Xenopus tropicalis: one gene and its partners. The protein of the gene in region 1 interacts with the protein of each later gene in a pairwise test. Links are inferred from orthologs where the notes say so. Each region holds a gene or a part of one and is shown on either strand. Other genes may lie near its edges.

Evidence for each region.
Region 2: the proteins of mlx (region 1) and mnt interact in a two-hybrid assay, tested with the Homo sapiens proteins (2 studies listed by BioGRID and IntAct). The link is inferred for Xenopus tropicalis from reciprocal best matches to the Homo sapiens genes MLX and MNT.
Region 3: the proteins of mlx (region 1) and mxd4 interact in a two-hybrid assay, tested with the Homo sapiens proteins (2 studies listed by BioGRID). The link is inferred for Xenopus tropicalis from reciprocal best matches to the Homo sapiens genes MLX and MXD4.
Region 4: the proteins of mlx (region 1) and mxd1 interact in a two-hybrid assay, tested with the Homo sapiens proteins (2 studies listed by BioGRID and IntAct). The link is inferred for Xenopus tropicalis from reciprocal best matches to the Homo sapiens genes MLX and MXD1.

What each region holds. Positions count from the first base shown.
Region 1 is NC_030686.2:6,141,036-6,144,312, forward strand, and holds part of mlx (max-like protein X), read right to left. Parts: intron 2,074-3,277; coding exon 1,928-2,073; intron 1,009-1,927; coding exon 909-1,008; intron 1-908. UniProt on the Homo sapiens protein: Transcription regulator. Forms a sequence-specific DNA-binding protein complex with MAD1, MAD4, MNT, WBSCR14 and MLXIP which recognizes the core sequence 5'-CACGTG-3'. The TCFL4-MAD1, TCFL4-MAD4, TCFL4-WBSCR14 complexes are transcriptional repressors.
Region 2 is NC_030678.2:47,682,732-47,686,306, forward strand, and holds part of mnt (max-binding protein MNT), read right to left. Parts: coding exon 3,258-3,575; intron 718-3,257; coding exon of another isoform or gene 676-717; intron 1-675. UniProt on the Homo sapiens protein: Binds DNA as a heterodimer with MAX and represses transcription. Binds to the canonical E box sequence 5'-CACGTG-3' and, with higher affinity, to 5'-CACGCG-3'.
Region 3 is NC_030677.2:21,432,337-21,435,789, forward strand, and holds the end of mxd4 (max dimerization protein 4), read right to left. Parts: coding exon 3,377-3,453; intron 3,078-3,376; coding exon 2,918-3,077; intron 745-2,917; coding exon 602-744; 3' UTR 543-601; downstream 1-542. UniProt on the Homo sapiens protein: Transcriptional repressor. Binds with MAX to form a sequence-specific DNA-binding protein complex which recognizes the core sequence 5'-CAC[GA]TG-3'.
Region 4 is NC_030679.2:121,959,141-121,961,923, reverse strand, and holds the end of mxd1 (max dimerization protein 1), read right to left. Parts: intron 2,685-2,783; coding exon 2,570-2,684; intron 2,370-2,569; coding exon 2,210-2,369; intron 1,470-2,209; coding exon 1,279-1,469; 3' UTR 531-1,278; downstream 1-530. UniProt on the Homo sapiens protein: Component of a transcriptional repressor complex together with MAX. In complex with MAX binds to the core DNA sequence 5'-CAC[GA]TG-3'. Antagonizes MYC transcriptional activity by competing with MYC for MAX binding.

The DNA of each region.
Region 1 (3,277 bases):
CAAGAAAAAAAAGTAAACGCATGCTGAAAATAACGGAGCCTTATTTGGCTTTCAAACTTTAAAATGTAACCATCAATTAGCAGAGTTAGCGTAACCAGAGATGAGGTCTGTATAAACAACCCATCCCCTTCACTCAATAACAGAGCCTTATCCGGCTTTTAAACTTTCCCACTTTACCATTAATTAGCTGAATAAAGGTGGCCATACACCTTTTGGGTTCTTTAGCTTATCTGCCGTGTATGGGGACCTCCGACAGGCCTCCCCAACCGATATTTGGCCTAAAATTGGTCAGATGTAGTTCAGGCAGGTTTGATTTTTCTGTCGGATCAAGGACCTTGTTGGCTCAGTTATGCCAAATAAATCGCATTAGCACGATATCCCCCACCCAAGGTCGGCATATCAGGGGAAAGACCACTTGTTTAGCGAGGTTCCAGTACCATGTATAGCCACCTTTTGTTTAAAGATAATAAGCTCTGTATAAACAACCCACCCCCTTCACTCTTTGTTGGACTGCTGTGGCTATGCACTGGTAATCTAACCTTCTACTTCATAAGAACCATATCTATTTGTCCTGTTTAGTTCAAGAAACAAAAACAATAAATTTTTTTGTGATAAAAACAACAGGCAGAGAGTATATCTGGCTTATGTCCTATTTGTTACACTCATGTTGAACAGGAAGGTACTGTCCCTGGAAATGCTTGCAGATTGCTAGTTTGGCTAATCATAATATCCATTTACCCTAAATGCAGCTATATCCCAACGAAGCAGCATTTCAGCTGATAACTGCTCCCCACACCATACCCAGAAGTGGCCCTTACATGGCGCATAACCATACAGCTATCAATACAAGGCAGTTGCAATTGTCATTGATGTGTGTGGGGGGGGTACTGTGGGGGCAGAATACTTACTCTTCTGCAGAACAACAGCCTTGCTGAGTTTTTGTGTTCCTATAGCGATGTCTTGCTGCTGACAGGTGGGCACGATGCACTGCAAGTCGTCGTAGCCTTTCTGCAAGATACAGGCAGAAGCCATTATTGTGGTGAGAAACCCAGGAAGAGCCCTTTACATTCTATTATAAATCTTCCCTGACGAAGGTTCCAGTAGGGAACCGAAACGTAGGACTAAATAAACCTCACCGTTTGCATTTACCCATGAGTATTCTCTTCAATATGATCGTGGAAATCCTATGAGTGCCGACACCTCTCTATGCTATTCTATTATAAATCCATATAGGAAAAAAAAAGGACCTATTCATACTAGGTGTATGTAAATGTACATGATATTTTGGGTTTCTGTACCAGCCCAAGGCACCCACAGCCCTTTAGCAGGGAAGATCTGTGCCCCCCAAGATGCCCCAGTAGCCCCCCATCTTCATTTCTGCTGATTCCCAGCACATACTATGTGCTGCTGTCACTTACCTGAGTTTAGGGACCCACTCACAATATACAGTATATATACAATATAAATGTCACAATATAAGGCTGACTAGTAATTAATACAGATCATTGCTATATGGCAGCTCTGAAACCAGTGCAATTAGCAGCAGATTAATTGGCCCTGTAGCATCAGCTTATATGACAGGCCAACCTTATTTTCTGATTGATAATTTATGATGACCCCTAAAGCTTTTATTCTTAACGGTCTCTGATACCCCCACCCCATCCTGGTCAAGCAGGACCCTATGTATGATGCCGTTGCAATATAACCTTACCCTTATAGATACAGTATCTAATAATCAAGCCCACTACACTATGGGCTGTTTACAGCAAATACATTGCAGATACAAGGGGTCACACCAAGCCCCATAGTCACTGTAGATATGGGGGCTGCCCCCCCGGCCACCATTATGTTATATCTACAGTGAATTCTTTGCAGACAGCCCTCAGTCTTCAGATTATTTCCCCAATATGTAGCCTTCAATTCTTACTTTGATGGCATCTCTTCTCTTCTGCTCAGCCTGGGTGTGTGCCCGTCTGCGTCGGTCCTTGTAGTCATTTTTTATGGTCTCTTGGCGGTCATCACTGTCCTCGTCATCTGAGGTTAGGGAACAAGCATTGTCCATCATGTTGCAGGCTACAGAAACGGTGAGGCACATAGATGCTATTTAACACCATGATAAGCCAAACCAACCATCTGTCCTTTACCATATAAAGAGAGAGTGCTGCACAGTGCCAAATTAAACTAATAGTTATCAGCTAAGAAGTTATTGATTTCTGCCCAGAAATTGCTGCAATTGCTATTTCACAGTTTGCGTTCAAACATAATTTCCTTCTCATGAGTGGTATCGAAATTTGGAGCAGAGCAGATTGACAGGGAATTTACCCCCAGCCTAAAATATAATTCCTCCTTATTGGGGGTAGAACAGTCCTATTGGGTTTATTTAATGGTTAAATGATTCCCTTTTCTCTGTAATAATAAAACAGTACCTGTACTTGATCCCAATTAAGATATAATTACCCCTTATTGGGGGCAGAACAGCCCTATTGGGTTTATTTCATGGTTAAATGATTCCCTTTTCTCTGTAATAATAAAACAGTACCTGTACTTGATCCCAACTAAGATATAATTACCCCTTATTGGGGCAGAACAGCCCTATTGGGTTTATTTCATGGTTAAATGATTCCCTTTTCTCTGTAATAATAAAACAGTACCTGTACTTGATCCCGACTAAGATATAATTACCCCTTATTGGGGGCAGAACAGCCCTATTGGGTTTATTTCATGGTTAAATGATTCCCTTTTCTCTGTAATAATAAAACAGTACCTGTACTTGATCCCGACTAAGATATAATTACCCCTTATTGGGGCAGAACAGCCCTATTGGGTTTATTTCATGGTTAAATGATTCCCTTTTCTCTGTAATAATAAAACAGTACCTGTACTTGATCCCAACTAAGATATAATTTCCCCTTATTGGGGGCAGAACAGCCCTATTGGGTTTATTTCATGTTTAAATGATTCCCTTTTCTCTGTAATAATAAAACAGTACCTGTACTTGATCCCAACTAAGATATAATTACCCCTTATTGGGGCAGAACAGCCCTATTGGGTTTATTTAATGGTTAAATGATTCCCTTTTCTCTGTAATAATAAAACAGTACCTGTACTTGATCCCAACTAAGATATAATTACCCCTTATTGGGGGCAGAACAGCCCTATTGGGTTTATTTCATGGTTAAATGATTCCCTTTTCTCTGTAATAATAAAACAGTACCTGTACTTGATCCCAACTAAGATATAATTACCCCTTATTGGGGGCAGAACAGCCCTATTGGGT
Region 2 (3,575 bases), on another chromosome or scaffold:
TCACTTTGCTGTAGCCTTGCACTAATCCTTTATTTTTTAGCTGGTCCACCTCCTTAGAATATTTACTACAAATAATGTTTTGGTTGCTATGAAGTGAATGAGTTGACTGCGCAAATTCATACCATGTTACTAGTAAAGCCCAACAGCATTTGTAACCTACCTCTGATGTGGTGAGATACCAATGCTTTTCTCACTAATGAAGAAAAACATTGATATTCCACTGGGATATTACTAAAGTCAAACCTGCAACCCACCAGCAGGAACAACTCCCAGCACCATATTGAAGCCTTCGGCCACCCATGGCATTCTGGGAGATGTTGTATAAATGCTATATGGCTACAGAGTGGCCATAAGAGAGTCATAGGCAAGCCTATTCAATGTAGAAAACGCATCCCAGGTTCTACTGGCAGAGCAGGGTTTTTGTAATAAACAAGAGGCCAGTCCATTAGTAGACATGGAGTTCAGCAACACTGCACAGCAATTAATTATAAGCGCCCTGCAGCATTTAATGGATTTAAACTCCAGCAAAAGAAGAGCTTAGGTCAATGTTACATGCATTTCTGCATGCAATTGGTGGATAGAGGTCACTTAAAAGTAGGCAGAAAGATATGCTGAAATCGAATAGGAAGCTTAAACCAGAGGCTGAATAAAACAGGGCCTGGCTTAAATACACACCTGTTCTTCTCCAGTTTATTATGGACTTCCCGGGTGCCTGCCCTGCACGCAAAAAGAAAAAAAACAAAAAACAAAAAAAAAAACAAAAAAAATTTAGGACTTTATGAAATCTGAATTTGATGATTTATATAATGCTAACAGAGCTGTATATATGTCCATAAGGACCAGAAGCAGTCTTCTCTATATAATCTAAACTACTTCACCTGATAAAAAAAGGAACCTTTTCCTTACCAACAAATATGAGTTAAAAGAAAATATAGATAAAATATGTTGCAACTATATTACTTTGTTTTATGTGACATTCATAAATATTAAAATTTCAAAGAAAAATATTAGAAATCTATGATCTGTCCAGCTGGCTGGTCTCTCACAGTAGAGGATGGTATGGATTCATGCAGCTTAGCTACCATCAAGTACAAGGCATGGTTTAATTATCACAAAGGAAAAGGAAATCATTTTTAAAAATCATAATTATTTGCTTAAAACGGAGTCTATAGGAGACAGTTTTCCCATAATTCTGGACTTTCTGGATAATAGGTTTCCAGATAACAGATCCCATACCTGTATCAACACGGTATAGTTGGCAAACTGTCTATTTTGTTTACCTTTCTGTAAAAAAGCTAACAGGGCCCCCACCCAAAAAGTCTTCAGTGCATGCAATGGGTTGCACCCTCAGCAAATCTGGTGGTTTCCTATCCATTCTCAATACATCCAGACCCTTTCCCTTTGTAGGCAGTGCTAATTTGGAAGCAAAGGGGCCACCGGGTTTTTTCCCGGTGCCCTGCTGACCCAGTCCGACACTGAAGGCATGTTTGCAATTAAGCTGTAGCGAAAATACCAAAACTTGGCTTTTTTTCTGTCATAGGCTAAATACAAGGAACAACTACTGCAACATCAACCAGGTTTACATCACTGAGTTTTCCGAAAAGACTGATTTAAAATAACATCATGTTCAGTTCCACTTTTTACTGCCCCAAGGTAGTTTGCGTTGTCAGTACAAGAAAATAAATGATAACAACCCTGCCAAGGCATTTAACCTGAGGGCTACACAAATAGGACACAAGTAATATTTTGTTATTGGATAACTTAAAGTAGAGCTAAAGCCTTAAAAACCTTGTTCTTACGAGTCTAATTTAACTGGGAGCTCTGATGCACCCTCAAGACCCAGTCTTGCCCAAAGGAACAGAAATCTTTCACAGGTGCAGATAGGATTGTGCACTTCTGGGAAATGTCTATTACCAAGGACAAGGCTGGGGCAAGGCTTCAAAGTGTATGGTATATTTTTTCCCCCCAACCAGCTACTCTTTCACCTAATCTGGGTGGAAAAATTTGCTGCCGAAAAACACTGACAATATAGTTAGAAATGCTATATTTTATGCACTGAACTTATTGCAGTAGCTCAGAAGTTCAGCAGCCCCATAACAGTAATGGCCTGTTTAGAGTTGTCTAATGCAAAATTTCACTGGAAATCATCATATCATTAGTACAAAATGAGGTTGAAATGTTGCTAAAGGGCTCATTAGTAATCAATTCTGATGAATGTGAATTTTAGAAAGTAAATATATTGTGAGAAGGTCCCTAGCTAAGATAACTGAAAGAAGCAAAGAGCATGTGCAGTGATTTAGCAGAAAAGACGACTGGGAGTTACTGGGGCATCTTAGTCTCAGAGATTCACTTCTAAGGCTAGTGCCGCACAGGGTTGATTCTCGGCCTGTGATTAAATGCAGGCCAAGAATCCACCCCTATGCTTGATAGTTGTGGCTGCACCTGGAGGCATTGTATTGTATTGGCTAAACAGAATTTGGCACTTAACTGCTTGCTCGTGAAGTTTCGAAACAAACTTTGCTTAGTGTCGCTGCGCCCAGGCCAATACAATGGCTCCAGATGCAGCCACAACTATCAGATTTTTTAAGCATAGGGGTGGATTCTTGGCCTGCATTTATCGACAGGCCGAGAATCCGCCCTGTGTGGCACTAGTTAGAAGTGAAGTGCTTGGCTTTATTATTATAGGATTTAGCAGCCAGGAAAGTTCTAGACATTTCGCATTTTCTCCCTTTAAAAACTGGAGGAAACAATGCTCACCGACATGGATGGACATGGAGTCAAGTATATATTCTTTGGTTAAAACATGAGATACATATAAATATACTTATGAGCAACTTATGGTTTTATTTCTATGACAGAACAGTCAGAACACCTCTGGACTCTCTGGAATTTACTTAATATTTTTTATAGTTACACAGAACTTAGATTTGGTTCCCTGAAAAAATGTATTCAGCGCTAACAAATGCTATTTCTCTGATGACATATAATGCAATATAGCTGCACTTACCCACTGCCACAAGTGTTAATTTGTCCCTGTCAAACGACCTTACACAATGTACTATCGATATCTTGCTACCAGTGCTGGAAATAAAGTCCCCTTGCTGCTAGGTAACTCTAACGTGAAGTATGAGGTTTGGGGGCCCTAGAAATACCCTCTCTGCTTTCTTTTCTCCCTGAGCTCCTATAATCAGGTCAAATATTATGTAGGTTGAAGAGATCAGATATTGTGTTGCGGTATCTCACAAAGAAGTCCTTACCCTCCAGGCCTCCGCCGCTGCTCATTGGGCCTTCCATCATCTGTTATTGGAAGTCTGAGGGCACCCAGGGGTTGAGGATGAGGCGGTTGTGGAGTCTGTAGAGCTGTAGGCTGAGGCTGTATAGGCTGCTGTTGTTGCTGTTGCATAAGGGGATGATGTGCAATGGCCAGTACAGGAGCTTGGTAATGGTGTAATGGCTTGGGGCTTCCCATGCTCAGAGGGGTGGTTTTGATTTCAGGGAGCACTGTGCCCGGTGGCCGCTGAATTACAGGTGGTAGGGACACTTCCTTGTTGAGGACAGGAGGGCTAACAACAGGC
Region 3 (3,453 bases), on another chromosome or scaffold:
TTAGAGAAGAGGGGAGGGGGCTCCAAGGCAACACTGAGAAGTTGGGGGCTAACAAACATTTTGGGGGCTGATATCCTTGATACATGTGCTGTTAATATCTTACAATGGGGCTCATTTACTTTATGACTGGGAAAAAATTACCTCACTGTAGGACTCACAGCAACCAAAATAACTTGCTTGGATCAGTCTGCTGAACACTGAATGCAAATATCTAATCTGGTTGCTATGGTTTACTGCACTTCGGCAACAGTGCCCAGTGTGGTAAAAGAGCTCCAGTATATATTCCACCCAAGGTCCCCCCCCTTCTCTCCTTGGCAAGTGCCCCTATGCTAAAACTTGGCCGTTCCACAATGTACTTTTTTTCTCCCCTGCAACATAGTGCCTTGTTGCAATCTGTAGTGGTGTGGTTACAATGCAAGGGGCCTCAGCACATAAAAGCTCCTTGTCGGGACTGAGCATGTTCAGCCCTTGCCAAATGGCAGTTGACATATCAGTAACTTTCTTTTTTGAAATTCTTTTTTTTTTTAAGTTTTTTTTCCTTGTTTTCTCTTTATAAGTGCCTTCAGCTTGGTGGTCCTGAATTGGTCCAGTGTTCAGGCCACTATGAAAGTCTGGAATTGAGCCTCAGGGAATGTGTGTATCCACTACTGCTGGAGCCGCTTTGCAAACTGTAGTGGTCATCAACGTCACTGCCAATACTGTCTATTTCCCCTGGCGTGAACTCCATGCCTTCAATATCGACCTCTGAGGAGAGAGGAAATGGAGAGGTTCAGCCATAACATTTGCATGCATCGGTTGTAACATTTGTAAATATTAATTAGGTGTATAACTAAGATAATGATGTGAAATGTACGCTGAGAATGGGGACTGGCATGGCCTCAGAAAGGCTCACTGTGATCAGGGTCGGACTGGACCACCGGGACACCAGGAGAAATCCCAGTGGGCCCCGGCGGCCCAAACCCGACCCGACCCTTGCCAGCGCTCCCATTGTGTGACCGTTCCTCCCCTAATGCGTTAAAGTTATGTGCGCTCAGCGAGGATGCCGGGTTGGGGACCCTGCAGGATCCATGATGCAGGAGGCCCGGTGGGCCTTGCAACCCAAGTCCGACCCTGACTGTGATTGGCTAACTTGCTGCATGCAAATTATGATATACCAAGCTATCATTAAAGGGAACTAAAGCGCAACTAAAGAAGTAGGGCTTCTGGGCTTCTGTACCAGCCCAAGGCAACCATAGGCCTTTAGCAGGGAAGGTCTGTGCCCCCATAGATGCCCCAGTAGCCCCCCATCTTCTTTTCTGCTGATTCCCTGCCCATACTCTGTGCTGCTGTAACTTACCTGAGCTTAGGGGCCCACTCACTATATACTGTATATATACCGAGTATAAATGGCACACTATACTGTATATATAGAATATAAATGTCACACTATACTGTATATATAGAATATAAATGTCACACTATACTGTATATATAGAATATAAATGTCACACTATACTGTGTAGCAGGGAAGGTCTGTGCCCCCAAAGATGCCCCATTAGCCCCCCCCATCTTCTTTTCTGCTGATTCTCTGCCCATACTCTGTGCTGCTGTCACTTACCTGAGCTTAGAGACTCACTCACTATATACTGTATATATAAAATATAAATGTCACACTGTACTGTATATATAGAATATAAATGTCACACTATACTGTATATATAGAATATAAAGGTCACAATATACTGTATATATAAAATATAAATGTCACAATATACTGTATATATAGAATATAAATGTCACTATATACTGTATATATAGAATATAAATGTCACACTACACTGTATATATAGAATATAATGTCACACTACAGTATACTGTAAATATAGAATATAAATGTCACAATATTGTGACATTAGTAATTTATGTGGATTTACATTACATGGCAGCCCAGAAACCAGTGCAGTAAACAGAATTTAATAATCAGCCCTATAGCATCACTTTATATGACAGGCCAACCTCATACTCTGTAATAATTTCCTATGACCCCTAAGCTTAGCTTCTCAGCTGCTGCCCTGAGAACACCAACGGGGTTATGTAAAAAAGGAACCAAGTTTGCCCAAGTGCAGTAACCCATAGCAACCAATCAGCAGGTAGAATTTTCTGGTGACTTGTTTAAAAACACACATGTTGATGGGTCTATGAATAACTGCTCCTGTGTCCTGTATTACATATGGTGGTACGCATGAACCACCTACGGGTGGGCGATATCGGGAGAATCCCTGGGGCCAAACGATCAAATTATAATGGCGGGTATAGGAAAAATCGGTCCGGGAGCTGCATCAATAAGCCGATGCGGTCCCCGATCCGACTAGATTTTTTAACCTGCCCGATCGATATCTGGCAGATTTCAGGACAGGTATCAGTTGGGCAAGCCCGTCGGTAGGGCCCAATTAGCTGCCGAATCGGTCTAAGGGACCGATATCAGCAGCTAGAATCGCCCCGTGTATGGGGACCTTTAAGCAACAGAAACTGTCATCTTAGTATTTCTCAGTGACAAGTATTACTAGGGTAACGAACATGTTACTTAGCAGAAGGCCTTTCGTGATTATTACATAGCCGCACATCTGTGTGCTCTATTTTGAACCGCCGCTTCCCCTATGATTACAATGATGACTGAGTTCATCATCAATGTATTGCAATAAGCAGTAGGGTGCAGGCGTGTAGGGACCCTAGGGCAGGCAGTAAGGACAGGGCTCCCCTGTGCCCCCCGACGCTGCATTCTGTACCTAGTACCGGATTTTCAGTCCAGCTCCAGGTGCAGAGTGCATCATTCCCAGGGCGCAATCGCTTGTTAAATGAGTGTAGCCCAGTGTAGCCCAGCCATAATTAGAATTATATAGAGCCAAAATAGGCAAGGTGACCAATTATTCTCCATTACCTTGCTCCGAATCTGTGGATATAATGGAGCCCATGCTGTCAGTGCGCATTCGTTCCATCCCGTGCACGGAGAGCTGCTCTAAACGGCGCTTGAGGTAGCGATGTTCTCTCTGAAGCTGTTCTTTAACATTGAGAGCTTTTCTGTCCTGTTCTTCTAGTTTCTACCAGAATTACCAACAAAAAAAAAGACAGACTATGATAAGCAGCAGCAGCAGCATATATTGGCCATAGATGAATACCAAACAGATAGACGGGGAGTGGGGGAAATAACCGATTGACAGCTCCAGGTCTAGTAACCCATAGGAATCAATCATATGTTTGTTTTTAATTAGTAGATCAATAGATGCTAACTACCGATTGGTTGTTACTAAACCTAGAGGAAACTCAAATGAATTCCCCAGTTACATGTCCAAGCTAAATTACCCATCATTCTAGCTGAATGCGTGTCTAGCTAAAGTACCTTTATGTGCATTTTGGCTCTTTTCAGAAGGCTTAGAGTAGTATGTCTGTTGCTATCTGGCCCAAGAGGCACGAGTT
Region 4 (2,783 bases), on another chromosome or scaffold:
TGGTACTGTTTGGATCTAGCTACGAAAATGTTAAAGTGCGTGTCCCAAACACTGCCTGGTAAAAATCCAACCGTTAGCATTCTGGGTGGGTTATGTTCAGTTAAGGACGATGAAGGCCTGCTTGCAGTTTTTTTGTAGTGCATGCTCTTTTCAAGGTGAATTTCTTTAGATTAGGGATAAAAACAAAAACTAAAACTTGACTGCCATTTGGGGAAAAACAGCAAGAGATTCTGGTACTGCAAATACACTGAAAAAAAAGAAGGAGCACTGATATCATATAGAAAAACCTTTCAGGCTCCATTAATTTACTCTTCCCTTGCTATAGAAAGGCAAATGAAAAATGCCTGGAAGTCTTCTTGTGAACAGAAAAGGGTAAGATTCCAGTTACAAAATGATAACAGGTTTACATAAAAACATGGAATCATTAAAAAAAAAAAAAAAAAACATCAGCTTGTAGAGGAGAGGCTGTGGCAACAGATAACGATTATGAAAAGTAAGCAAGACTGACACCAATAACAAAAAACACAATATAATAGACATAGCAAGTGGCTTTATAGATCTCCGAATAAAGGCTAGAAGGCGCCAGCGTTGCAATTTAGACTGTGCTGGGTTTGGTGCATTAGATGCACGATTCTGTGAAAAAATATAATAGCAGCATTCTCACTGTTCTAAGCCAAAATCACTGAATCAAGACTCAAAGTCCCATCCAGATTTCCTTGGTGGCTTCTTATTGGATATTATAGTAGCTGTAAACTAAAGGTCTTGCCGTATAGCAAGATTCTTTTGACATATTCCTTCATACCATTTTCCAGATGTGAAGTGAAGCAAAAAAAAAAAAAAGTTTTGGTGTTGCTGGGAGATATTATGACCTTTTAACTGGGCCAATTGTACCGGCAATAGACCAGGTACCAGCTGGATGAATATTGTTATCTTGTTTATCAGCCAACAACCATTTCCAGTAAATAATATAGATAGTTTTTTCCTCTTGAGTGCTTCCTGGTGATTCTGGAATGTGGTCTTCTCGAGTAGATTTGGCTGATGGGTTAGCAAGTGATATTGAGTGTAAACTGAAACCCATACAGCTCCTTCGGAAAAGGGGGGAGGGAAACAGACTGCTGGAAGGTCTGAGTTTACAAGTTCACGTGCAAGATAATGGTGTGAAAGCCAATAGATAACAGTGTCTGATGTGAGAGCAATTGGGAGTAGTGTGACGAACTGCTAGAAATCTCTCGCAACCATCCTTCCCCCCTCCCCTTTTTATCTTCTCTGATTGGCTGTTTAAAGAGCTGTAATTTTGGGATTGTCCTGTAGTTCTATCCTCTTAAGACCAGAGCTGGAATATCCTTCATCACTGCAGATGCTTTGCATACTCCCCCTCTCATCCAAGTCACTCACACTACTGCTACTGCTGCTCCAATCCAGATCTGCAGTTAAATAGTCCGTGCTTTCTACGTCCACATCAATTTCCTCTGTGGAAATAAAGTACCAGGAGTCAGCAATAAACCCAAAGCAAAGAAATACAGCTTTCAGTTGTACTGACAAATACAAAAATTAACTTTAAGTATGATGTATCCAGTAATATTCTGAGACAATTTGCAATTGATTTTTTATGATTTTTTAGTTATTCAGTGTTTTTTTTCAGCAGCTCTCCAGTTTGGTATTTCAGTAGCTATATGGTTACTGAGGTTTTAACCCTAGAAGCTAGGCAATGGTTTGAATGAGAGACTAGAATATGAATAGGAGTGTGTAGACCCCCCCCCCACACCCCCCATTTAAAAAATGGAAAGATGCAGAGGAGAAATGCAAATAATTAAAAAAAAAAAGAAAAAAAATAATTAATGAAGAGCCATTACAAAGGTTATTATGAATAGTTAAAAGGTAACAAAGTTGAACCACCCCTTTAATGAAACACATGGGAAATGCATGCAAACATGCAATGCATGCACACAATAATATATTTGCAGGTAGCAGATAAAGGGTTAATGGTGTGTCTCCAATTATTTGAGCCGCAGCGCAGCACAAAGGGACCATCTACTGGAAACCACTGTGTTAAACTGTACAGTTAGGCCAAGCACGAGTTAACTGAATGAATCAAGATTTTTGAAAATAATGCAAAGAGATTATGAACAGTTTATTAAGAAAATCTATTTTTTTGTTGTTGCTGTTGATATAAAACAATAAACTGAAAGGGGGATGGGGTATAAGTTACCTCTGTCCGAGTCTGATCGTTCTGAAGACATAGCTGACCCTATACTGTCCATGCGCGTCCTTTCCACCCCAAATTTTTCTAGCTGCCTTTTTAGATGTCGCTGTTCTCGTTGCAATTGTTCAATTTGGTGCAGAGACCTTTTGTCACAATCTTCAAGTTTCTTTAAAAGAGAAAGAACAAAAGAAATAATAAGTATTTGGTGTATGTATATGTATATATGTATATATATATATATATATATATATATATATATGTATATATATATATATATATATATATATATATATATATATATATATATATATATATATATATATATAGACACACACACGTTAAAAAAATAATATAACTTTAGCTTACCTTAATGTGCGACTTTGCTCTTGTTAATAGACTTAATGTGGTATGCCTATTGGATTCAGGTCCAAGAGGAACCAATATCTTTAGCTTTTCCAGACATAATCTTAAATGGGCTCGTCTAAACAGGAAAAAAAGAATAATTACATCCACATTAGAAAAACAATCATGGCACAATATGCTTTTCAGTTACACATAACAAAAAATATGAACTGGAGAG